6 linked regions of the Ovis aries genome follow. The protein of the gene in region 6 interacts with the protein of the main gene of each other region in a pairwise test. Links are inferred from orthologs where the notes say so. Each region holds a gene or a part of one and is shown on either strand. Other genes may lie near its edges.

The links.
Region 1: the proteins of HMG20A (region 6) and RPP30 interact in binary tests that used the Homo sapiens proteins (3 or more experiments, as listed by UniProt). The two-hybrid records come from large-scale screens. The link is inferred for Ovis aries from reciprocal best matches to the Homo sapiens genes HMG20A and RPP30.
Region 2: the proteins of HMG20A (region 6) and CCDC136 interact in binary tests that used the Homo sapiens proteins (3 or more experiments, as listed by UniProt). The two-hybrid records come from large-scale screens. The link is inferred for Ovis aries from reciprocal best matches to the Homo sapiens genes HMG20A and CCDC136.
Region 3: the proteins of HMG20A (region 6) and SCNM1 interact in binary tests that used the Homo sapiens proteins (3 or more experiments, as listed by UniProt). The two-hybrid records come from large-scale screens. The link is inferred for Ovis aries from reciprocal best matches to the Homo sapiens genes HMG20A and SCNM1.
Region 4: the proteins of HMG20A (region 6) and HPCAL1 interact in binary tests that used the Homo sapiens proteins (3 or more experiments, as listed by UniProt). The two-hybrid records come from large-scale screens. The link is inferred for Ovis aries from reciprocal best matches to the Homo sapiens genes HMG20A and HPCAL1.
Region 5: the proteins of HMG20A (region 6) and DTNB interact in binary tests that used the Homo sapiens proteins (3 or more experiments, as listed by UniProt). The two-hybrid records come from large-scale screens. The link is inferred for Ovis aries from reciprocal best matches to the Homo sapiens genes HMG20A and DTNB.

The regions. Positions count from the first base shown.
Region 1 is NC_056075.1:12,323,017-12,326,516, forward strand, and holds part of RPP30 (ribonuclease P protein subunit p30), read left to right. Parts: intron 1-483; coding exon 484-558; intron 559-3,365; coding exon 3,366-3,437; intron 3,438-3,500. UniProt on the Homo sapiens protein: Component of ribonuclease P, a ribonucleoprotein complex that generates mature tRNA molecules by cleaving their 5'-ends. Also a component of the MRP ribonuclease complex, which cleaves pre-rRNA sequences.
Region 2 is NC_056057.1:94,459,525-94,463,557, reverse strand, and holds the start of CCDC136 (coiled-coil domain-containing protein 136), read right to left. Parts: upstream 2,801-4,033; 5' UTR 2,712-2,800; coding exon 2,654-2,711; intron 1,863-2,653; coding exon 1,755-1,862; intron 193-1,754; coding exon 1-192. UniProt on the Homo sapiens protein: May play a role in acrosome formation in spermatogenesis and in fertilization.
Region 3 is NC_056054.1:101,063,773-101,067,909, reverse strand, and holds SCNM1 (sodium channel modifier 1), read right to left. Parts: upstream 2,801-4,137; 5' UTR 2,681-2,800; coding exon 2,579-2,680; intron 2,405-2,578; exon of another isoform or gene 2,368-2,404; coding exon 2,297-2,367; intron 2,058-2,296; coding exon 1,969-2,057; intron 1,871-1,968; coding exon 1,773-1,870; intron 1,659-1,772; coding exon 1,570-1,658; intron 1,169-1,569; coding exon 974-1,168; intron 341-973; coding exon 241-340; 3' UTR 186-240; downstream 1-185. Other genes in the region: LYSMD1 (lysM and putative peptidoglycan-binding domain-containing protein 1), read left to right, coding at 3,582-3,761. UniProt on the Homo sapiens protein: As a component of the minor spliceosome, involved in the splicing of U12-type introns in pre-mRNAs. Plays a role in the regulation of primary cilia length and Hedgehog signaling.
Region 4 is NC_056056.1:19,580,104-19,584,117, reverse strand, and holds the start of HPCAL1 (hippocalcin-like protein 1), read right to left. Parts: upstream 2,801-4,014; coding exon 2,423-2,800; intron 1-2,422. UniProt on the Homo sapiens protein: May be involved in the calcium-dependent regulation of rhodopsin phosphorylation.
Region 5 is NC_056056.1:32,941,721-32,945,220, forward strand, and holds part of DTNB (dystrobrevin beta), read right to left. Parts: intron 3,384-3,500; coding exon 3,278-3,383; intron 156-3,277; coding exon 1-155.
Region 6 is NC_056071.1:30,345,916-30,349,854, reverse strand, and holds the start of HMG20A (high mobility group protein 20A), read right to left. Parts: upstream 2,801-3,939; 5' UTR 2,687-2,800; intron 1-2,686. UniProt on the Homo sapiens protein: Plays a role in neuronal differentiation as chromatin-associated protein. Acts as inhibitor of HMG20B. Overcomes the repressive effects of the neuronal silencer REST and induces the activation of neuronal-specific genes.

The sequences.
Region 1 (3,500 bases), on a different chromosome or scaffold from region 6:
AGAGCTGATCAAGTTCAATGTCTTACATGTGTGTGATTTTTTACTCTAAATTACAATAGTATCATCAGAGATCAGGGAATTCCCTGGCAGGCTAGTGATTAGGACTTAGGCAAAATCAGTAATCACAGATCCCCATAACAAATATGATAGTAATGAAAAAATGTGAAATGTTGGGAGAATAACGAAAATGTGACACAGAGATGTGAGTGAGCAAATGCTGTTGGAAAATGACGCATTATAATAGACTCGCTCAATACAAGGTTGCCACCAATCTTTAGTTTGTAAAAAAAAAAAAAAAGGCAATATCAGTGAAGCACAACAAAGCAAAACAATAAAGTATGCCTCTATTATAAATTCCTTGAGAGTTAAGGCTAGGGCTTTACTGATCTTCACTATCCCTTATTGTTAGTACTTTTTAATGAGTACTTTCCACTGCTAAGGAGGAAAATCAGTCATCTGTATTTTGTGCTTTTTTCATTACAGGGAAAATCAAAACCAATTAAAATTTTAACTAGACTAACAATTATCGTTTCGGATCCGTCTCACTGTAATGTTTTGGTAAGTTACTTTTCTTCTCTCTTGGTCTTGTAAGTTGTATTGATTAATGTTGAACTCTTGCTTTTCAACTCACCTCATTCTTAGATCTTCCCCAACCCCCAGTGTATGACACTTGACTGCTCTCCTTAGCTCAGAATTCACATGGTATAATAGTCTCTTCTATTCATGACACATGTATAAGGATTAAAGATTTAAAGAGTCTTCCAGCAACTGGTATTCATTGAACTTACATGACCCAGACATAGAGTACTGGTGATGTTGCTATGAATAATACAGATATAGTCCTTTGGAAAATGAGAAGAACATTTAAAAAGTGGGAGATAGTAAATAAGGAATGTTCTAGGAGTGTGTAACAGGAGGCCAAGCTGAGGAAGCTGATGTTCAAACTGTGGCCATATGAATCAGTGAATGTTGTTGGTGCCAGATAGGGAGAGGATAGTCCCACAGACAGGATAAATTATGCAAGGTCCTGAATCCCAAAAAAACATGGTGCATGGTGGGAAATGAAATGCCAGTTGAGTTGAGCCTGATGACCTGTCTAACCTAGGATGATGTTAGAAAGGTAGGTCTGGGTGAGCAATTAGAAGAAGCCTATGAAGGTTTTAACTAAGGGAGTACAGTTTTGAGATTTGCATTATAGAGAATGGATCAAAGGGGATAAAGGCAGGGGAGGGGAGGATTGACAGGATTTGATGTTGATTGGATCGAAGGTGGTAACTCCCTGCTTTGGCCTGAGCAGCCAGATAGGTAGATGGTCCCATTTCCTGGGATGAAACATACAAAGAGAAATAGGTGTCAGATCATCATGTGTGAGACACAGTAGGTTATTGTAAGAGTTCCAGTGAGAAGACAGCCACAATCGTGTCCAGCTCTTTGTGACCCCATGGACTGTAGCCCACCAGGCTCCTCTGTCCATGGAATTCTCCACGCAAGAATACTGAAGTGGGTTGCTATTTCCTTCTCCAGGGGATCTTTCCAACCCAGGGATCAAACCCAGGTCTCCTGCACTGCAGGCAGACTGTTTACCAACTGAGCCACCAGGGAAGCCGCAGGAGTTCAAGTGGAGCTTGTCAGATGAGTAGTTGGGAAAAAGGACATGGCCCTCGGAAGAGGGACCCCAGTTCAAGATACTCATTTGGAAGTGGTCGCCTTGTAGAGAGTATTGTACTCATGAGAATGGATGAGACTCCCCGGTCAAAGTATAATGTGGGAGGAGAAGGTCTGGGACAGCATCCTAAGGAATAGCTGTATTCGGTGGTGGAGGAGAGGGTGAGCCAGGATGGGAGACTGAGACGGGCCGTCTGAGGAGTAGGTGGACAATGAGGAGCATGAGAAGGGTGAGCAGCATCAGTGTGCCTGAGTACTCAGCCAAGCAGGAGAAGGGCTAAAACATGTCTTGGCCAGGCAGGTTCCCTAATGACATGGTGGTCATTGGTTGCCTTACAAAAAGCCATTTCCATGGAAGTGATTGGGCTATGAGAAAATATAGCCAGTGTCTGCTGCTAACTTTGCTTAAGAAACTTCACTCCATGGAGGAATAGAAGGCTTGGGAGGCTGGTGAGAACCTGCTGTCTAGATTCTGTTTCTTAAGTGGAGACTTGCAAGTAGCCGGTACTGATGTGAAGAGTCAGTGAGGGAGAAAGTGAGATCTCTGAGAACCTGAGCTGTTTCATCATTAGCTGGGATGGCCTCCTCTCTCACAGAAAAGGAGTGATCAAGGAAGGGCTGGCCTCCTTTCTAACAATTAGCATTGCTAAAGAAATTATGAAAAACCAAATTTGGGAGTTTTTTATACCTGCAGGCTGCATTCTGGTTCTCTAAGCCTGGGGAGACATAGAGTTGACTTTTTATGGCCACAGACTTTGATTTTTCTCTTATTACCATGGACATCCTGGTGGCCCCTTTCAGTCCCTGTCCCAAGTGGGAGTGTCAGACAGAGGAAGAGAGTACTGGATCCTGACTTTTTCTGAGACCTGGAACCTGCCCTGTCTTGGCATGCATCTGCCCAGTGGGTTCACTTAGCTGCTCAAGCACAGTACCTGCTGCATCTCTTCAACCGTTCTGTTTCCTCCTTTAATGTTTATCATGCTTTTTCTTTTTACAGAATAAGAGGTAAAAAATTTTAAAGGTGCCAAAGGGAAAGAAAAAACAGCACATATTATCTCATCATTCAGTGACTGTATACTTGAACATGTATTTTTTCAGCCTTTTCACATGCATACGCATACAGTATCAGTTTGAGACTTTCTTTTATAAACTTTAACTGATAAATCTCTCTCCTTCTGTCAGAGGACTCTTGGTTATTTTCTTACACATCTAGCAGTTTAATTTGTATTTAACCGTATTCTCATTGTGAACCTAATCACATCATAGTCAGTCATGTGTGTTTCTCATCTCACCAAAAAATGATAAGCTCCACTGAAAGCAGATATATGCCTTAAATGATTTTGTATCCCTCGTGCCCTACACATAGCAGGTGCTCAGTAAGTTTCTGGCAAGCTCCTCCGCTAGCTTATAAGAGCAGGAGCTGTCTAATTTGATTTTTGTGTCTCAAACAAAATGTTTGATATACAGGTAAAGCATGACAATGTGGGAAGGAAGGAGAGATGATTGGGGAGATGGATGTTGATAACTAGAGTCTTACATGCTGAGAAGGTCTTTTCTGTCAACATACAAAGCAAAACAAAAATGTCAGTGGCATAAGTATTACAAGTTGAAATAGAAGTGCAGCCAGGACGCTAGTCAGAATCCCATATGCATTGTTGTTGTGTTGTTACTGTACGGTAACATTCTTTTCATCTTACTAGAGAGCAACTTCTTCAAGAGTCCGGCTATATGACATTGTTGCAGTTTTTCCAAAGACAGAAAAACTTTTTCATGTAAGTAACAGTAAAAGAAAATAGTACTCATTATTTTACGTAAGAAGTCTGATGTTGTACCTT
Region 2 (4,033 bases), on a different chromosome or scaffold from region 6:
CTGCCACCAGCCGCAGCACCTGAGCCCTCAGCTCCTCCAGCTCCGTCTCCGTGAGGCTCAGGCCTCGGTGCTTGCTAACCGACAGGGAGCCTGCGTTGCCGCCTTTCTGCCCTGGATCATCCTCTTCTTCCATCTCTTCTTCCTCCTCCTCCTCCTCTTCCTCCTCGTAGAGAGCTGGGAGTAACACTTCCCCTAGGAGAGACCCCCGCAACATCCCGCCAGCGAGTAAGAGCCAACTTTCTTACACAGTCCTTAGAGGGCCCTCCACCTCACTGTCCTTAGAGGACAGAGATGGTATAATAGTGCCACCTGGTGTCCCCCAAGGAGCCTCTGGGCAGCACCTGCATGCCTGAGGGGCCCTGAGGTGTGAGAGTCAAGTTTGGAGGTATCCATCCCCCTCCCAGGCACTTCCTGGACCAATATTGCCTCTGGGGCCTCCAAGGACTGCCTTCAGGTGGACTGAACAGCCAGGGACTGGCTTGCACAAGGATACCTTGCTTCTTCTATCCTTGTCTCTGGGCACAAGTAGTCAAGAAAGGATTCAGACACTGGGTGTGTCTTTAAGCCAAACAGGGCAAGAATTACAGTTTGGGGGTTTGTACAAAGTTTACAAACGATCCAGGTGGCTTGTGAGAAACTAGCCTTTCCATTATATGAAAGTGTTGCCTGTCAGTAGGCAGAGAAAGAGAACATCTGAATGAAATGATCTAAAGGATTTACTGGACAAACACTGGGGCCCTTCCAAACATATTCCATTGAATAGACTTTTTGAAATTTTCTACCAAGTCCACTTTTCTTTTCCCTGCTGAGTGTCTGGGGGTCTCACTTCCTCCCCTGCTGACCACAAGGCAGTTTTTAGGGGAAAGTCATAGGTTGTACTTGTGTGTAAAAGAAAGCCTGCCATTTTAATGAGTTAAGAAACTGGGGTGTGTTGGTCCCCAGTCTCTGGCTGGCAAGCACCCCCTCCTTTACTGCAATGCAGTTTCTCTAAATAGCAAAACCTTATCTGGATGGCAATTGTTTTAAAATTCTGAGTCTCTGGCCTGGTTTTGTCCAGTAACCACAGCCTAAGATTCATCTGGGACCCCTGGCATCATCTGTCTCCCCGGGGTCAGTGGAGGTGGGGGGGGAAGGGGCAAGATTGACCACACTAGATGTGCACAGGGACCTGGGGACCCTTCACGGGAAGTCCTGGCAACAGGACTGGCACCCTTCTAGCATCCTCCTGGTGTTGGCAACAACTGCCAAGTCGCATGGGTGTTGTGGGAATACACATGTGTTGGGAGGTTGGCCTTTTCAGCAGCCCCCTTCCCAGGCTCCCTCTTTCAGGCAGTAAGATAGCCTAGAGAACCAAAGCCACCAGGCTTCCATTTGAAGTCAGTGGTGGCAGCACCAGAAAGACAGTTCACGTGCTCACTTCCCTGCTTTTCAAAATAAGAGACAGCTTGGGATCTGGGTCGGGAGGCAGAGAGAACAAACCCCCTGCTGAAAGGCTGCTTCAAAGCTCTGTCCAAAGAGGCCTCTTTCTCTGTCTGGCAGCTCCCTCGGGACACACAACCTGGTTAGCTGGTGATTAGAACCCCAAAAGGATGTACCTTGAACTTCCCTCAAAACCTGAGCCCTGAGGAGGGCTAGCGGGTGCTGAGCTGAACTAGGGGGAAGGTGTGTGTCCTGGCTCAGAGTTCTGGAGGGTCAGAGGGAGGAAGGAAAATTGGGTGAGGGAGAAGGAAAGAAAGCTTTACAGGAAAACTCACCCTCCATAGCTTGCATCCCCCGCCGTTCCAAAGACCCCCAGCGTTGGCCCTTCTTCCTCTCACAACCCTCCGACACCTCATAGGAGCCTAAAGTGGTCACTGTGGGTCCTGTGAGCAAGGAGAGAGAGGGATTGTGGGGTGCCAGGGTGGCTGGGGTGAGGCAGGGAGGGGAAGGGACACACCTTCTAGCCCTTCGGAGCCCTGGGGGTTTTTATCCCGGTGGAAGTACTTGGCTCACTCTGCCAGGCACTGCGACTCCTCTCCCCAAGCTGCCCCTTAGGCTGGGCCTCTGGGGACCCCGCCCTGCCCTGCCCATCCTCCTCTGCAACCTCTGTTCCAGGCTCCTCTCCCTCGCACAGGTAGAAAGGGTGTGTGTCTCTTTAGCCCAGAGGGGACAGAGGGGGAAGATGGACAAGGATGGCAGAGGGTGGGAGCAAGTAAAGAGGCTGAAAGGGTGAGGTAGTGCGCCTAAGGGGAAGGTGGGGAGGGGGCCGGCGATGGCTGGCGGGGGTCGTGTGGACCGGACCCCCTCCCCTCCCCTCCATCTCTCCCTAGACTTCGTCCACCCCACCCGCGCCCCGCGCTCAGAAGCTTTAGGGGTGCGAGCGGGTGCAGGATCTATAGAGCCCCTAGGGCTGGAAGCAGTATGAGGCTGGAGAGTCGAGATTGAGAAGGCTCAGGGCAGGGAATGCCAAGGAGGATGCGGCCGGTGTGGGGAAGACCCAGCCGGGAAAGATGGAGACCGGGCCCGGGTGGGGGGCGGGAGGGAGGGAGGAGGAAGACTTCGGCCGTCAAGGTGGGGAGTAGCGGAGGGGGGAGAGGCCGTGGGGGTCTGGGGGGAGGAGAGATGGAGAAGAGGAAGGAGAGGCAGTGGAGAGGTGAAGGAGGGGCGCTCTGACCTGGGCCCGGGCAGCTCCAGCCCGAGGCGCCCGCGCCGGCCCCGGCGCCCGCCTCCATGGCCGCTCTCGCCACCGCCGCTGCCGCTGCCGCCGCCGCCGCCGCCGCCGCCGCCGCCGCCGCCGCGAGGCCGGGTACCGGAGCCGGGTGCGCAGGGGAGGGAGGGCGGGCCGGCCGAGGGGGCGGGGCCTGGCCGGGCCACCTGACACCGCCCCCGCCGCCGCCCGCCCGGAAGCCGGTCGGCCGCCGCAGCTCCCGAGTTCCCCGAGGCCGAGCGAGCGGGAGATGGGAGGAGACCCGCGCGGAGAGTGCGAGCAGCCAGGAGTCGGCTGCGCGAGGAGACCCCCTCTGCTCCGTGTGCCAGGATCCCGTCTAGCTCGGTGATGAGGCAGGAAAACCAAAAGGATGGACGGATCCTCCCGGCTTGTTTCCTGCAAACACGCGGATGCTTTTCCACTCCCCTGGCTCCCTATGGCGCAGGGCGCGCCCCCCAGCTCTGCAGTCGGCGCGGACCCCGGCCACCCGCCCCAGAACTGCGTGAGGGCAGGAGCGGGGAAACTGAGGCCAGGATACGTGAACTCGGGGCCCTGATCCCTCTGTTGTCCGTGCGTGCGCCCCTCACCAAGCCAGAAGCAGGGACCCTCTTAGGAGGGGCGGCTCCGTGGCCCTACACTGTCCTTAGTGTCCGAAGGCCGCCTTTCTCCACCGCTTGCCTTCCCACGAGCCCTACTCCCGGTGGGCTGCGAGAATGACCCCCACTCATCATGCACGCATAGCCTGTTCAGGGTGGGCACTGCTGATTTACAGTTAAAAATGGGAGATGTGAAACTTACGCGGGCTTATTTCACTTAACTTCATCATTCATTCAAGGAACGTCTACCAGGGGCCAGGTCTTGAAGAAACAATTGTTCTCACATCTCTGAAGGTCTTAGCTAGGAAAAATATGGGTACACTTGAGAACTGGGGCGTCCCAGGACATCCAGAAAAGCACTGGGAGATTCCTAAGCCAGGGACACACACCAATCCTTTCTCTCACCCATCCACTCACAAGGTCTTTGGCATATATTGTCTTTGTCACCGCCACAGGCTCCCAGGTTCACGAGCCCTCCATATTCTTCAGGGGAGAACCTTTCTTCACCTGGACATCCCCTACTTACCCTTCAACACTCAGCAGGGAGTCATCCCTAGGCAGCCCTTCCTGATGCCCCCTCCCACCCCATTATACACACCCTCTCCTCCTTTCTCTCTAGGGCATTGCCAGTCACTCAGGGTTGTCAAGGTCAGATTTTCAATTTTCTGTCTGCCCATTTTCTTGAAGACTGGGAGTTAACATGGTCTTCTGTATATCTCTGCTGTTGCTGCGGCTGCTAAGTCACTTCAGT
Region 3 (4,137 bases), on a different chromosome or scaffold from region 6:
CTCCTTCTGACAGACTTATTAATAGGGCACCAGGCTGCATGCAGCTGACGCTTGGCATGACTGTGGGAGAAGGTGGGGGAGGGGTCAGAAGTGTGGGGAGCTGTGTACCTTGCAGAGAAGAATTGGCTGGGCTGAGAATGAACAGATCTGAAATCCTGAAACAAGGAACCAGACTCAGGAGAAGCTGGGCTCCCAGCGCCGGCTGTAGTTTATTTGTGAAATGAATGGGGAACGAGGATGTCAGTCCAAGGGGAGATCAGGGGGTTCCTCCTCATCAGAGTCAAACTCAACATTTTCATCTTTTACCCATCGACCTCGTCCATCTGGGATCCATCCAGAGCTGGAAACACCAGAAAATAGAACTGGTCAGGAAAGGAAGTTTATTAAATTAAGAAAAGCATGTGTGCGAGTGCTCTGTCATGTCCAACTCTGTGACCCCATGGACTGTAGCCTGCCAGGCTCCTCTGTCCATGGGATTTCCCAGGCAAGAATACTGGAATGGGTTGCCATTTCCTTCTCCAGTTGGGAATCTTCCCAACTCGGGTCGAACCTGCCTCTTGTGCACTATAGGATTCTTTACTGCTGAGCCTCCTGGGAAGCCCCAATAGTTCTTTCTATCTAACTGTAGTTAATTTCCTGAACTATTTGAAAAAAAAGTTACATATGTAAGGAGTCTTTGTGCATGCATGCACGTGTGCTAAGTTGCTTCAAGAGGAACTGACTCTGTGACCCTATGGAATGTAGCCCGCCAGGATTCTCCAGGTAAGAATACTGGAGTGGGTTGCCATGCCCTCCTCCAGGGGATCTTCCTGATCCAGAAATCGAACCTGCATCTCCTGCATTGGCAGATGTCTTCTTTACCACTGTGCCACCTGGGAAGCCCCGGGGGATAAGTAAAAACACTTGAGAAGCTCTGAAACAAGGAGGGTCAGAGATAAAAGGGAAAAACTGAGGAAAAATTCTGCATACTCACCTTCGAAGGGTGAGGTAATGATCCAGGGCCCGTCTTCTTGTGGGGCTCATAGGTGCGGGGGATGAGACAGTGGCTGACTCCTTGGTCTGTGAGCCAGCCTCAGGCTCAGGTTCTCTACTGATCTTCCCACCTTGGGGTTCAGCCTCTGCGGGTGGCAAAGGGGGACGAGAGACAGAGGGACGAGGGGCTTCCGGTCTGGACAGAGAAGAATCGAAGTCTGTAAAAGCAGTAAAGGAAAGGGCCTAATCTCCTGTGACTCCCAACTCCTTATAGGAGTGCTTCCCAATTTTGTGTTCCTCAAGATATTAGTAAGTGTTCTGCATAAAAAGAATTCTGGAATCCAGTAAATTTAGGAAAGTCTAAATCTTTTAAGGTTTTTTTTTTATCTTATGATTTTGTAGAACCCTTAAAATACACTAATTTTTAATCAAATAGGATTACAAAGCACTTTTTTAGTTACAAAAATCTTTTTCCTGAAATACAAGTTAACACCCCCAGAACACTTAGTATGTCTCAGATTACAATTAGGAAAATAATCACTTTAGAGCTATCTATCTCTTGTCCCTCCCTACCTCTGGCTTTCCCATCCCACTAACCTGTACTTCCGGCGGCAGCAACTGTTATAGTGAGGAGCTCTGTGCAGAGCACTCTGAGTGATAAGTCGAGTCTGGGTTAAGAGAGGAGCCTGGCATGGAGACAGCAGAGTCAGAGCCTTCAGAGCCAGAAATAAGCCAAAGTCCTTTAGCCTAAGGTGTGCAGCACAGTCCTGCCTGGAACACAACTTCCCCTCTCTGATTACCTCTGCTGTGGTCTCTTCTCTCCTGAGTTCATTATGCTGTCTTGGATTCTGCTCTGTGCCCTTTCCTGCTGGCTTCTTGCCATAGAAAAGCTGCAGGCCTGAGGAGAAAGGGGAAGAGGATTAAAAGCAGAGCACCAAGGGTGGTCTGAAGAGATTTTAAGGGTTTACTCTATTGTCTGTCTTTTCCCAAACTTACTGGACAGATGTTTTTTGCCTGCACGGTGGGCAGTCAGCATGGCCAGAGTGTCCAGGACGGGTCGGTGGGGACAGATGGCACAAGCAAAGCTGGGGAGTAAGAAAGATAATTGGTCCCTGGGGAGTGGAGTCTTGGTCATAGGTCCCACCCCGTCCAAGCATTCATTTCCAAAGCCCAACTCCCAAGTCTCCCAGTCTCCATCACCCACATCCCTGTTACTCACTCCCAGCCAAAGAATCCTAGATACTCCCGCTCTCCTCCTTAATAACAAAAGTTCTTGAGTCTCTAACTTCAAAACCCTTAAACTTGATCCACTCCTCGCTCTCACCGTCCATCCCGTAGCATCAGCGCCTCATCCTCTGGGATGTAGCTGGCAAGCAGGTCCCCGACCCTTCGTTTCTGCAGGAGACAGGGGAAGAAGTCCGCACGGGATCAGCTGGATATGAGGGAAGGATAAAAGGGAAATGATAGAGACGAGGACTGAAAGGGAATAAAGACCATGGGAGAACACACATCTGCGGTGAAAAAGGGGTCACCACCACCTCTAGTCTTTTGGTTCCCTCCACTCCGCCCCCCAGTTGTTGCCACAGCAACAAAACAGCTCCTTTACAGCTTTCAGAGGGCAGGTGAAGCTGCTTCGGAAGCACTCCTCTCCGCATACTTTGAGCACATTGAGCTGACTCCAATCGTCTCCTTCCCTCTTGAAAGACATCAAGACTGTGAGCCCCAGAAATCAAAAACTCTATCCAGCCGCCTTCGCCACGCCTTTCAGGCCACCGTAGCAGGAGTGGGTCGTCTCCGTTCCTTCCGGTCTCTTTCCTGCTGGCCCCCTGACTTCCGGGGGTGTGCTTCCACGAATGCACTGCGCGATCCCGGAAGCCAGCTTCTAGCCGGCCGAGGGGGACTGTATTTCTTATGGTGCCCTGCGACCTCACCGGCGCGGGGCCTTTTGGGAAATGAAGTCTTTTTTCAAAGAGCTTGCCGCCGGGCTGGATCCAGGCCCTTTCGTCTTGGCAGATTCGAGGCGTTTGGAATGACAAGAACCTAGATGAGGAGCCCGAATTTGAGGGTGTGACTGATTTGGTTTGGAGAATACCTTTGAGGATCTCTGACGGAGAAAGAGTGCTACAGACTCTGGCTATTGTCACGCCCTTCGCCTGCAACCACAGCCCATATAGGGTGGGCCTGATCTGTTCCTGACCCTAGAGGGCTAACCCCGGGACCGGGCGGAGTCGGGGTATTGGGGAGCCTGGAGGTCGGGCTGCCAGACGTAGGGGCAAATTGAGCTGCGTGTTAAGGAGGCTGCTAGAGTTCAAAGGTCAGGGGTCAACGTAGCGAGTTGTTGTGGGGAGTCGAAAGTCGGAGGGGTGCTAAGGAAAGACTCAGGTAGGGACTGAATAGTCGGAGTACAGATTTGTGGGAAGGGGACTTGCAGGGAGGAGAAGCTACGGCTGACAAGTCGCGTATCGCCGGGGGAGGCGGGGAGACTTAAGAGAGAAGACTGAAAGAGAGGAATCCTCTAAGATACCCATTCTCGGACCGCGAGCCCGTCATTATCGGTCACTTGGCCGGGCCTCCCGGGGTTGTAACCTCAGTGTCCGCAGGGTGAGGAGATGGCTTCTCCCTCTAGACAGGCCCCCCTCGGGGGGTCAGGACTGCTTCAAGGGAGCCGGGCTCGTTCTTATGGAAGCCTGGTGCAGTCTGCCTGCTCCCCGGTGAGGGAAAGACGCCTGGAGCATCAGTTGGCGCCCGGAGACACCCTGGCTGGACTAGCACTCAAATACGGGGTGACGGTGAGTCTTCCAGGATTGGGACGTAGACACCCAATTAGAAGAGGTTTATTCCTCATGAGAATGTATGGCCCTCTAGGCAACTTCCCCTGAAATTTTCTTAATTGTGTTTATATTAACTAATTGTGATAAATTGACTGTGATAAAGGTTTGGTCACCTTTATCTTTTTGTTTCCTCATCTCAGTGTTGCACTGTCTGGTGGGAACAAATCCTGTCCCATTATCCCAACGGAGGGGAGCAGCATTTATTTTTTAGGCCAGTCACTGTACTAAAGACTTTACATCCATTAGCTCATTTGATCCTCACATCCCTATCAAGCATATAATTATTGTGCCCTTTTTACAGATGAAGAAACTGAGACTTAGATTGGTTAACCAG
Region 4 (4,014 bases), on a different chromosome or scaffold from region 6:
ACCTCGGTGAGAAGCAAGAAAAGCTAGCCTCTGCAACTCCCAGGGGAAACCACACCACCAGCCCCAGAAAGGACAGGCCCGGGGCCCATGGGTCTCTCCAGCAGGACCGAGAACCTTCTCTTCAGGATGCTGCCATCCGAGGGCTCGGCACCATGCAGGCCGTCTCTGTCCAAGAGTCCAGGCGTAGTGGTGTGTGCGTGTGTATATGTGCATCAGTGTGTGTGTGTGTGTGTGTGTGTGTGTGTGTCCAGGGGGCCATGATGAAGCCGGTGACCAGCAGCTCATCAGAGTAACATGTGAGAGTGAGGGGGCTGTGCTACTTGGGATTCTATGTGGAAATGGCTTGACTGACTGATACTCTCATTCCACAAACAGACCAAGAACAGCAGAAACCTGGAAGCTGTAATGTCTTAAAAAGCAGGTTTACAAAACCAAACCAGAAAGAATGACCCCAGGTGAGGCTTCTTGTATCTATTATACTCTGTACTCCTTGGCCCCTCTCCACCTGCAGGCAGGGGTGATAAGGCCTCACCGCACAGCAAGTGTGTCTTTCAGGGCCTCCTGGGACAGCCCTGCCTCCTGGGACAGGCCCGCTTCCTGGGACAGGCCCCCCTCCTGGGACAGGCCTCCCTCCTGGGACAGGCCTCCCTCCTGGGACAGAGCCAGGCACTCGTCCGAGTGCGGAGAATGCAGAGCCAAGACCCTCCCTGTCTCTGCTGGGCTGTGATGAACTTGGAGCCCAGTCTGTTTTGATGAAGGTGTAGCAGCCAGGCATCCTGCTTAGCATCTGCCGACAAAGGGGGAAGGTGCTTAGGGTTTAGGAACTCGGTCTGGGGGCCTAGCAGCCAGATCCCATCTGGACAGGAAGGCACCCCTTTCGGCTCTCACAGCTCTGCCGTGTCTGTAAGCTTTGGCCCAGCCAGTCTGCTTGGCCAGTGACAGAGGAGGGTGAGGGCCAGGAGGTAGGTCGGGACAGGTGATTCCCCAGAAGCAGATCTCTTCTTTCCACTACTGCTTGTCGCTAAGAGCCAGGATCAATGGCTGAAGGACAGTTTCCCTTGAACCTGTGCTGGTTTATTCTCATGCGTGCAAATCACCTGTTTGGGAAACGGGTCAGGCTACTTGCTGCTGATCAAGGAGCTCCTGAGTTTGATACCCTCTGTGTGTAGTTTAGTCCAGAAGTTTCTACTGTGTGGACTAGAGAACACCTCCTCTGAGGAATTCTAGAACTGAGTTCCCAGGCTCCAGGAGTGGGGGAGCAGGGGGTGGGGACCCAGGGAGCAGAGGCACCTGGGAACCTGGGGAAGTGAACAAAACTTGGTTTCTTGCCAGAAAACAGCTTCCCTTGCCAGAGTCATTGACAGGAGAGAAGAGCTTTCTGAAGTGGCGCTTCCTGGGCCAGAGCCTATTCCGTCACCACCAATGTCTCAGTCTGGCTTTACAACTGTGTGTTCCTGAGGACATGACAAGCTGTCTATTGCATTCTTAAATAGGGGAATATGGCAGTGCCTTTCGCAAGTGTCAAGGGTCCTCTCTTTTTAATTCCCAGCTCCGTTACTCCGCCACCTTTGACTCATTGGAAAAGACCCTGATGCTGGGAAAGATTGAGGGCAGGAAGTGAAGGGGATGACAGAGGACGAGATGGTTGGATGGCATCACTGACTCAATGGGCATGAGTTAGAGCAAACTCTTGAGAGGTAGTGAAGGACAGGGAAGCCTGGCATACTGCCATCCACAGGGTTTCAAAGAGTTGGACATAACTCAGCAACTGAACAATAACTGGTAACTCTCAGGAAATCATACCCCCGCACCACCACCACCCCAACCATACCTAGTCTCAGAGTTTGTGAAAGGCTGAGAATGACACCCCCTCCCCTTAGAACTGGGAAGACCACAGCTCATCAGGGGCGTGTAGGCCAGGGCTTTGTACCACCAATGATAGGTAAACAATGGTCCTTCTCCTGCATTGGCAGGTGCGTTCTTTACCACTAGCTCCACCATAGCTCAGGCGGTAAAGAATCTGCCTGTAATACGGGAGACCCGGGTTCAATTCCTGGGTTGGGAAGATCCCCCCTGGAGAAAGAAATGACAACCCACTCCAGTATTCTTGCCTCGAGAATGCTATGGACAGAGGAGCCTGCAGGCTACACAGTCCATGGCGTCGCAAGGGTCAGACAGGACTTAGCGACTAAACCGCCGCTGCCACCATCTGGGAGGCCCAACAGTGGCTTGTCTCATCACCATCTAAGGGCCCGCTGGTCAGGTGACAGTCAGTCATTTTCTGAAGGGCAGGATAGAGGGGCAGGCAGCCACGTGGCCCCGAAGGTCCAGAGGCGGGCCGAGGAGTCGCGCATGGGGTCCCCGAGTGAACGCGGTCTGCTGAGGCCCCGCCCCCGGTGCCAGCCCCGCCCCCCGGGCGCACCTGCACGATCTCCAACATCTCGCTGCGGCTGATGTAGCCGTTGCCGTCGAGGTCATACATGCTGAAGGCCCACTTGAGCTTCTGCTCCAGCTTGCCCCGCGAGGTCACGCTCAGTGCGATGATGAACTCCCTGAAGTCGATGGTGCCGTCGCCATTGGTGTCAAAGGTGCGGAAGACGTGCTCAGCGAACTTGGAAGCGTCGCCGTAGGGGAAGAAGTTGGCATAGATCTTCTTGAACTCGTCCACGGTCAGGTGGCCGGTGGGGCAGTCCTTGAGGAAGCCCTTGTACCACTCCTGCAGCTCATGGTCCGTGAACTCCGTGTTCTCCCGCAGGTCCTGCAGCACTTCCGGTCGCAGCTTGCTGTTTTGCTTGCCCATGGCGGCCGCGGGGACACCTGCAAGACAGAGGCTGGGCTGGAGATGGGGTGGACAGGGTGCAGGGGAGGGCTCCCCACCTCCCACGGCCACCCAGCAGGTTGGAGGACTGTCCCCCGAGTGTCCCCCACCAGTGGCCCGAGAGGCCTGACTCCAGCCATCACGGTGATGAGCTGTCCCCAGTGTGTGTAGGACCCCCGCAGGGAGGGGGACCCCGGAGGGGAGGGGGACCCTTAGTCTGTGTACCACGAGGAAGGTTGGGTGCTCCAGTGGAGTCAGGACCGGCCGCCTCGCACTGCAAGGTCTATCCTGACCTCCAGAATCGGAAACGTGGAGAAAACGGCCACATAAAATGAACAGGAATGAGGCCCTCATCGAGTGCCCAGCAGGGTTTGTACAAGACTGGAGGCTGAAAACCTTCTACTCATCACCCTCATCAACTCCCAGCCAAACTGTCACCCTGACTGCAGCACACGCCCTGTGTTCTGAGCATTTCTTTCCTCTTTCAGGCACTGCATTCTGATTTTATCCTTAGAACAGGCATCCAGAAACTTTAAAGGAATCCCTTCTTGTTTGGCCTCTGAGAAACCCTGTGGTTGGGAGCACTGTGTGGATCTGGAATTAGCACCAAGAGGATGTATCCAGTGTGCATAGTAAAGTCCCAGGCAACTGAAGGCATGCAAACGTGTGCTCTCCATGGAGTTTTCCCCTAATGCCTGCACAGAAGACTGACCCTGCATGCACGCTACATCGCTTCAGTCATGTCCGACTCTTTGTGACCCCATGGACTGTAGCCCGCCAGGCTCCTCTGTCATGGGATTCTCCAGGCAAGAATACGGGAGTGGGGTGCCATGTCCTCCTCCAGAGTTTTGCAGCTCCAGGATCGGATCCACATCTCCTGGGTTTCGTGCATTGCTGGTGGACTCTTTAATCACTGAGCCACCAAGGAAGCCCTTTTGAAGCATACAGGACAGAAAATGAAAACAAAGGGTTTTCTGGCTTCCCTGGTGTCTCAGCAGTGAAGAATCCCCCTGCCAATGCAGGAGACACAAGTTTGATCCCTGGTCAGAGAAGATCCCTCATGCCACAGAGCTCTGTGCCACAACTACTGAGCCTGTGCTCTAAAGCCAGGAGCTGTGACTACTGAGCCCACCTACCCGAGCTACTGCAGTCTGTGTGCTCTAGAGCCCGCAACAAGAGAAGCCTGAGCACCGCCC
Region 5 (3,500 bases), on a different chromosome or scaffold from region 6:
CTCCTTCATCTGGTGCTGGTTGCTGTGAGGGCCACTGGCATGGCCTCGCCAAAAGCAGTTTTGGCAGAGCTGGTAGTTGTGGCACTGCTGGCACCGGTACCGGAAACCCATCATGCTCTCGCAGCGGCAATAGGAGCACTCCACAGGGTGGAAGACTTGAGGGCGGGGAGGAGAGGGCCAGAGAGAGAGAGAAGTCACTGTCATTTGGAGAAGAAGGCCAGTGCAGTGGAAGACCAAAATAAAAGCCAAGGTGGAGACACGACTAGCACTGAAGAACTGCAACTGTCTTCTATTTAGTTCATCTAACCAGCCAGTCCATCCTAAATCAGTCCTGGGTGTTCCCTGGAAGGACTGATGTTGAAGCTGAAACTCTAATATTTTGGCCACCTGATGCGGAGAGCTGACTCATTGGAAAAGACCCTGATGCTGGGGAAGATTGAAGGCAGGAGGAGAAGGGGACAACAGAGGATGATATGGCTGGATGGCATCACTGACTCAATGGACATGAGTTTGGGTAAACTCCGGGAGTTGATGATGGACAGGGAGGCCTGGTGTGCTGCGGTTCATGGGGTGGCAAAGAGTTGGACAGGGCTGAGTTACTGAACTGAACTGAACCAGCCATTTACTGAAATAAAAAGACAATACCAAAAGGTCCCATTGAGAATCAATTACAATTCACCTTAGAAACCAATTTCCTTCTTTAAAACATCATTCATGTCTCAAAGTTTGCATACATGTATAAGTAAGGAGGAGAGACACCTTCACTCCAAATTTCTCTTCCAATCCTATCTCTTTTAAAGAGATGTATATTGTTGGCTGTGGACACGTCTCCTTCACTAACATAAAATCTGTGAGGGTCAGGACGACATGCTATATGTCTCTATTACCTGCAAAGTGGTATTTCACACAGTCCCTTGGACTGATGGTCTTGAAATGTTTGCTGAATTAAATACTATTACATACTGGGGAGCAAATGGGAACTGGTGAAAAAAAAAAAAGTAAGGCAAGCCACATCAAAATACTAGTTTTAATAGATAGCCAATGGGAATTTGCTGTATGACTCAGAGAACTCAAACCGGGGCTCTGTAACAACCTAGAGGGGTGGGGATGGGGAGGTAGCTGGGAGGGAGGCTCTTCAGGGAGGGGACATATGTACACCTATGGCTGATTCATGTTGAGGTTTGGCCGAAACCAACACAATTCTGTAAAGCAATCGTCCTTCAATTAAAAAAAAATTTTTTCTTAATTTTTTAAAAAAGTACTAGTTTTAGGTAAGAGCTCTAAGTACTAACATAAAATAAATTACTCTAATCTAACCAAGGAAGGGGCAGTGATTTGGAGGAAGGGAAACTCAGTGACCTGCCACTCTTTTCTCCACCTCACACAGCATCTTACCTGGTGGAAAACCACCAGCTGGCAGTTAGGATTTATAATGGTTACTGGGGCCTGAAAGTCCAGTTCATTGAGTGGAAAGTGGGCAATAAATGCACAACTGTGTATCACAGATTGTTATTTATACTTTTAAATGTTGAAAGCAACATTGTTCCCTTTGCCAATTCAGTTCTGAACACAAGAAGTCTAAGTCAAAGGAAAGAGGGGTGTAATAGCCAAATCATCATTTGAATAGCTCTTTATGGCCCTACGGATACAAAGGCAATCTTATTTCAATTATAAGGACTTCTAGTCCTGCTTCTAACAATGTAGGTTAACTAGAGAATCAAGACTCAAAACAAACAAGGACAAAACCTGAGCACTTGGTGAAAAAAATAATGCAACAAGATCACTAAAGAATAACAGAAAGAGTAAAATCTGGAATGAGAAATTGAAAGTTTAAACTTCCTCTAAGAAATTTAAATTTTTGTCACCAAGATATTTCTAAAGAGTAATCAAAGTGTTAATCACATAAGAATGTAATCAATAATGTAATCAATGTGACTACGTAGAAAGTCACAACAAAATGTTCACATGGATAATGATAATACATCTCAACAAATGAGATTCCCTCTACTTGGCAGAGTAGGCCTAAAATGATTTTATGAAAATGAGCTGGATATGAAACTACTAAAACATTTAGGACTATAAAAGTATTGCTCCCCCAAGGAAGCAATATTGTTATAATTTAATAGCACAAATCTCTTTCCAAAAATATTGTTTAAAATTTAACTGTTTTAGTCTACTCAAGAAATTTCAGAACTTTTGGAAAATAATCTTGCATCTAAGGACTTGTGAACTAAAGTCATAATTGGGCAAAAGGCTGAGAAATTAAAAAAAAAAAAAAGATATGAAAAGGAGCCAGAAGATATAAGAGTATGGTTGTGTTCTCTCATTCTTATAAAATGAAGACGAGGACTCTAATTTTTAGTGCCTGTCACCTTTCACTCTTTCTCTTCTGTGGAATAAGGAGAGACAGGCAAGAGCCATGAGCGAAGGGAAGGTCCAGGGAAAACCAGGGCCTTTCCTTTAATGAACTGAAACAACCTAAACAAGGAGATAAGCTGATAACAATACTAGAAAAACCTAAGAAGTTACTCAGAGGTAAATACCATTTCAGTTCCAAGTGAAACAAAGATTCCCAGCTAGCATTAGCAGTAAAGAACCCGCCTCCCAAAGCAGGAGATGCCAGAGACACAGGTTTGATCCCTGGGTCAGGAAGAAACCCATTCCAGTATTCTTGCCTGGAGAATTCCATGGACAGTGGAGCCTGGCAGGCTACACAGTCCATGGGGTCACAAGAACTGGACACCACTAAAGCGACTTGGCATGCATGCACTTAGGGAGAATACTGAGAGAAATGCAGTAGTAAAGGAAAAAACCGTACTGGTGAAACCAAGTACCAAATTCTATCTTAGCTACTTTCCTTTAAACTATTCCAAAACAATTATAATTTTAATGGTGGATATTTAATACATTCAATTTTTTGGAGCTAAGCTTTTTATACACTACAGGGGGAAAAAAGGAAGTCATGGCTAAGTTGGGTGGGATCAAGCAGAAAACAATCATCTGGAATTTAGGGGGAAAAGCCTAGAGTTTGAAACACAAAGTTTTCTGACCTGATATTACTACATTGGTATCCTAAGTAATAAGTCCTCTTTCCTCTTTTTTTTTTTTTTGAGAAATAAATATTCTTCTTTGAAAGCCGAAACTACAAATTCAAATGATGGAGTGCCAACAAATGTCAATTACAGTTTTCAGTGACAATAGCTAAGAACATTACAAATATTACCAGTTCACATACTTCCTGTAGCACAGGGGACTGAATGATGAAAGTTCTGCTTACCATTCTCCACGTGGGCAAGCCTATGCATGAGAGGTAGCCAGACAAGGCACTGGGGAGGAGGATCGGCCATCATTGTGTCTAAAAACATATTTAGCATTATCTTTTTCTGTGAAGAGAAAAAAAAAAACATTTTTCAAGTTACCTCTGAACTCTAATGTTAAGCTAACTTAGGATTCTCACAACCAAGGTGTAATGAATTACATGGGAAATTTTATAGCAAAAT
Region 6 (3,939 bases):
CACAGAAAGGTAGACAAAAGAATGAAAAGATCCTTTTGCATTAGAGATAGCATCTAGCACTTCCTGGATAATCGAACTTCAGTGAGACAGAATCCAGAATTTTGACCTACTGTTTTATTTCAGACTGCTATGAGCAGTATATCTAATGACTGCTTTTTGAAAAAGAAAATGGTTATCTAATCTAAATATTATGAAAAAATGGACAATCTCTTTTTTCTTGATGACAAGTAATGGAATGAAATTCATTTACTTAAAGAAGCAACAGAGTACACTTACAAAATTCTTTATTTTTCTAATTTTGATAATATGTCTCTATTAGAACATGAAAAGAAAACTGCATCAAAGAGCTGTAAGAAGAAAAAAAAAGCCTTTGGAAGACAGCAATCTACTCTACAAAAACACTTTTAAAGAGAATAAAAGCAGGTTCCATGAACTTCCCTCTATTTTCCACAAGGTTTTCTAATATTTCTTCTTCGATGGAACCAATGAATAACTGCCACTTATCACAAAACATCTTCTTTCAGATATGTGCTTTATAAATTGCTTTCTTCTGAACAGACAATTCTTCAAGTTGCTCAAGTCTCTCAGCTGCAACAATTTTTCTTATTTCTATTATACTGCATTTCTTCCATGGAATGGTATAAAGACCAATTTTAAAAACTCCTTTGCTTTTCAAAGATAGCTTCCTAAAGGCACTACTACTGTATTTCAATCAATATTTTAACTTACTTTTTCTCTATTTCATCTAATTCCACAAGCTTTACTCACTTCAATAGTTCTTAATGCTGTAGTTTAATAGTTTGTCAGGAGCCTCATATAGTATTTTCTTCTATAGTACACTAACAGAAGATAATGAACAGGTTTTTCTAATCAATTAATACTTGCTTGAGGCAGTCTATATGTTCCTTTTATTAACAGTAACACAGACATAAATGTGTCCTGTCTTTTCAACTTTTGCAGAAATTCTGTAGTCCTTGAAAAGGTAACTCACTGATTTTTGGGTCTTAGCTTTTTTGTCTTTATGTCTATAAAAGATCAAAACATATCTTTTTCCTTATTGTGACATTTAAGTTTTACAGATGTTTAAACATTTAGTGTAAATCAGATTTTCTAATAAACTCTAAACAAACTAGCTTCTGAAAAGAACTAGAATTAAAACAATTGCAAATTCTGAGGGTAGATTAGGTGAGAACCCTAAAGGAAAAAAATACAAAAGCCTTATTCTTTTAAATATTCTTGAAAGACATTACAGTTCACTTGATAGATATTCTAAAACTACTAAAGCTGTTGAAATTTTATAATCACCAAATAGATTGATCCTTTCAGTACCCTCACCACCTACTAAGTATTGTGGTACTTGAAAACAAGCCAAGAAATCAAACTGTTAAGTGTTTATTACAAGTAGTTTCTTACAAAACACTGAGAATATAGAAAAACAGAATGTTCCGGTACATATTTTTTGTCCTTTATGAGCCCAAATTTCCCCCTACTTAAAATCTGAGCTGAATTTCAGGATCCCTGCACCATGCCTTAAAACCACAAAGTGTAGACACCATTTTAAAATCGGTGCTTGGGTATGTGTGCATGCATGTGCCTGCTGAATCGCTCAGGTGTGCTGGACTCTATGCGACCCCATGGACTCTGGCCTGCCCAGGCTTCTTTGTTCATGGGATTTCCCAGGCAAGAATACTGGAGTGGTTTGCCATTTCCTACTCCAGGGGATCTTCCTGACTCAGGGATGGGACCCAGGTCTCTTACAGGTTCTGTCCTCTGCCTGAAAACAACTTCCTCAGCTTTAAACATTCTTATATGTAACTTACATGTAACATCTGTGTAAGTCGCACTGTAGTACATTCCCCCCCTTTGTAATTTAATTAAATCGATTTTTAAACCTGAGGAAGTTGTTTTCAGGCACAGGGCAGAACCTGTACCCTAAAAGCAACAGGTCTACGGATTTAGGACACCAATCACATCAGTTAAGGTAACATCTGTTAACTGGGTATATTTTCACTTTCGTAAGGTGAAAATTTCATAGTTTATGTAAAATATCGAGTCCTGTAATAAACAAGCTCTTTAAGAATTGCTATAGAGTTCCTGTGGCACGTCAAGGCGAAGAATACCGCTATACCACTCTAAGTCAAGGTTGGACTTGAGTCGAGGAGCAGGGTGGGCAATTCATGAGTCACACCAGAAAGTATGTCATCTTGCACAGATGGGTAGAAAATTTTAACAAGAGGTTTCGAATTCTATGACAAATGCATTAAGAAAATTCTACTGCGGAGAAAATTTTCACCTTACCCATGGAATCAAAATTCACATAAATTCTGACTGGAGGCTGGTGATCAGCACAACTTCGTGGAATAACCTAATTTTTTCACTTAAGACACAATCCCAAAGCTTTAGGATACCGCCTATGCATATGGCACCAAGCACCACCTTTTCAAGCTCTCGCCGGCACGGGAAATGGGTTGGACACCCCAACCTCTCACCCTACCCCCACAGGAAGTGAGTTATGTTCCCCCCTCCCCCAGGATGGCCTTCCTCCCCTCCCCCAACAGGAAGTGAGGCGCCCCCATTCAGTCGGCCTCAAACTGAGGCCAACCAGTAACAGCAAAAGAGGGGTGATCTTCAAGGGGTGAAGGGTACCTCCACTGTGGCCACCCCCAAGCTCGCCTCGCTTACTGACCTGCTGATGATAGGGGTAGACAGGGGCCCGAGGCCTAAAGAAAGTCCCTGGCACACAGGACAATTCCCTGAGCCCCTCTCAACCGCCTTCACTCTTCTCACTCCGTCGTCTCACAGCTTGACAAAAATTCCTCCGCAGTACTTTATATTGATGCCTTTTCTTTCCCTTTACTTAATTTCTTAACTGCCTTCCATAGGTAACTTCTTTAATCGCTGCATTTAAAATTTTTCCAGTGAGGAGAAAAATGAAACATTTTTCCCCATACCTTCAGAAAAATGAAGGGATTATTTTGTTCAAAGGCGGCGAAGGACTGACTACGTGATTACGTAAGGTGAGACTTATTTTCGCCTAGGTTTCTGGGAGATGTAGTTTTTTAAAATTAAGGCCTGCAGAAATATTGGGCTTAAATTGGTGATTACTGTGTGCTGGAGTCCTTGAAGATACATATTCTGTATTCGACGGTAGGCTGACCTAGGGGGCTGAGGCACCAAATGAGGCAGTACCTCGTTCGCCTTTTCCGCTTAAGCGTAATTGAACTGAAATTTCCCTTCACGCCGGCCGAAGGTCCTGGTTGTCCCGCCCTCTTCCTTTGGCCACGCCCCCTCGGCCAATCAGACGTGCTCTAGGTCTCTCCCGGGAGGTAGGAACGCGAGAGGTGGGGCCTCATGGTGACTCCTCCCGCGGGGCTGAGGAGAGGGCCCGTGCGCGCGCGCGCGCGTGTTCGCTCCAGGAGCGCGGCGGCGAGTGCGCGCGCGGAGAGGCGGCGCGCGAGGCTAGGAGGAGGCGGGCTGGCTGGTGGGCCGGGCGGGCGGCGGGCGGCCGGGAGCGCGCGGTGGACTCGGCGGCGGCGAGTAGTTAGTTAGTTGTTGTTAGTCAGTGTCAGTTGCTCGGCGGCGGCGCTGGCGGTCACCAGGAAGGGTACGGGACGGTCGGCGAAGGTGGTCACCGCGGCGGCGTGTGAGCCCCTCAGGTAACGGGGGCAGGGTTGTCCGCGTCCCCTTCGATCCCTTCTGTCCTCTCGCGCCGGCTTGTGGGACTAGAGTCGCCGACGGGTAAGGGGGATGACCTGGGGGAATCCGGGCGGGGCGGCGCAGGGTCTGGGTGGCGCCGCCGCGGGGGCTTAGGCGGCTTGTGCCTCTGGCCCGGCGCGGGCTCTCCGGCCACGGCCACCCCCGCGCCCCGCCGTCCCCGGGGCCCGCCGGCGCCTCGCGCCCCCTGTCGCCCCCGCTCCCGCCCCCTCCCTCGGTGGCTGC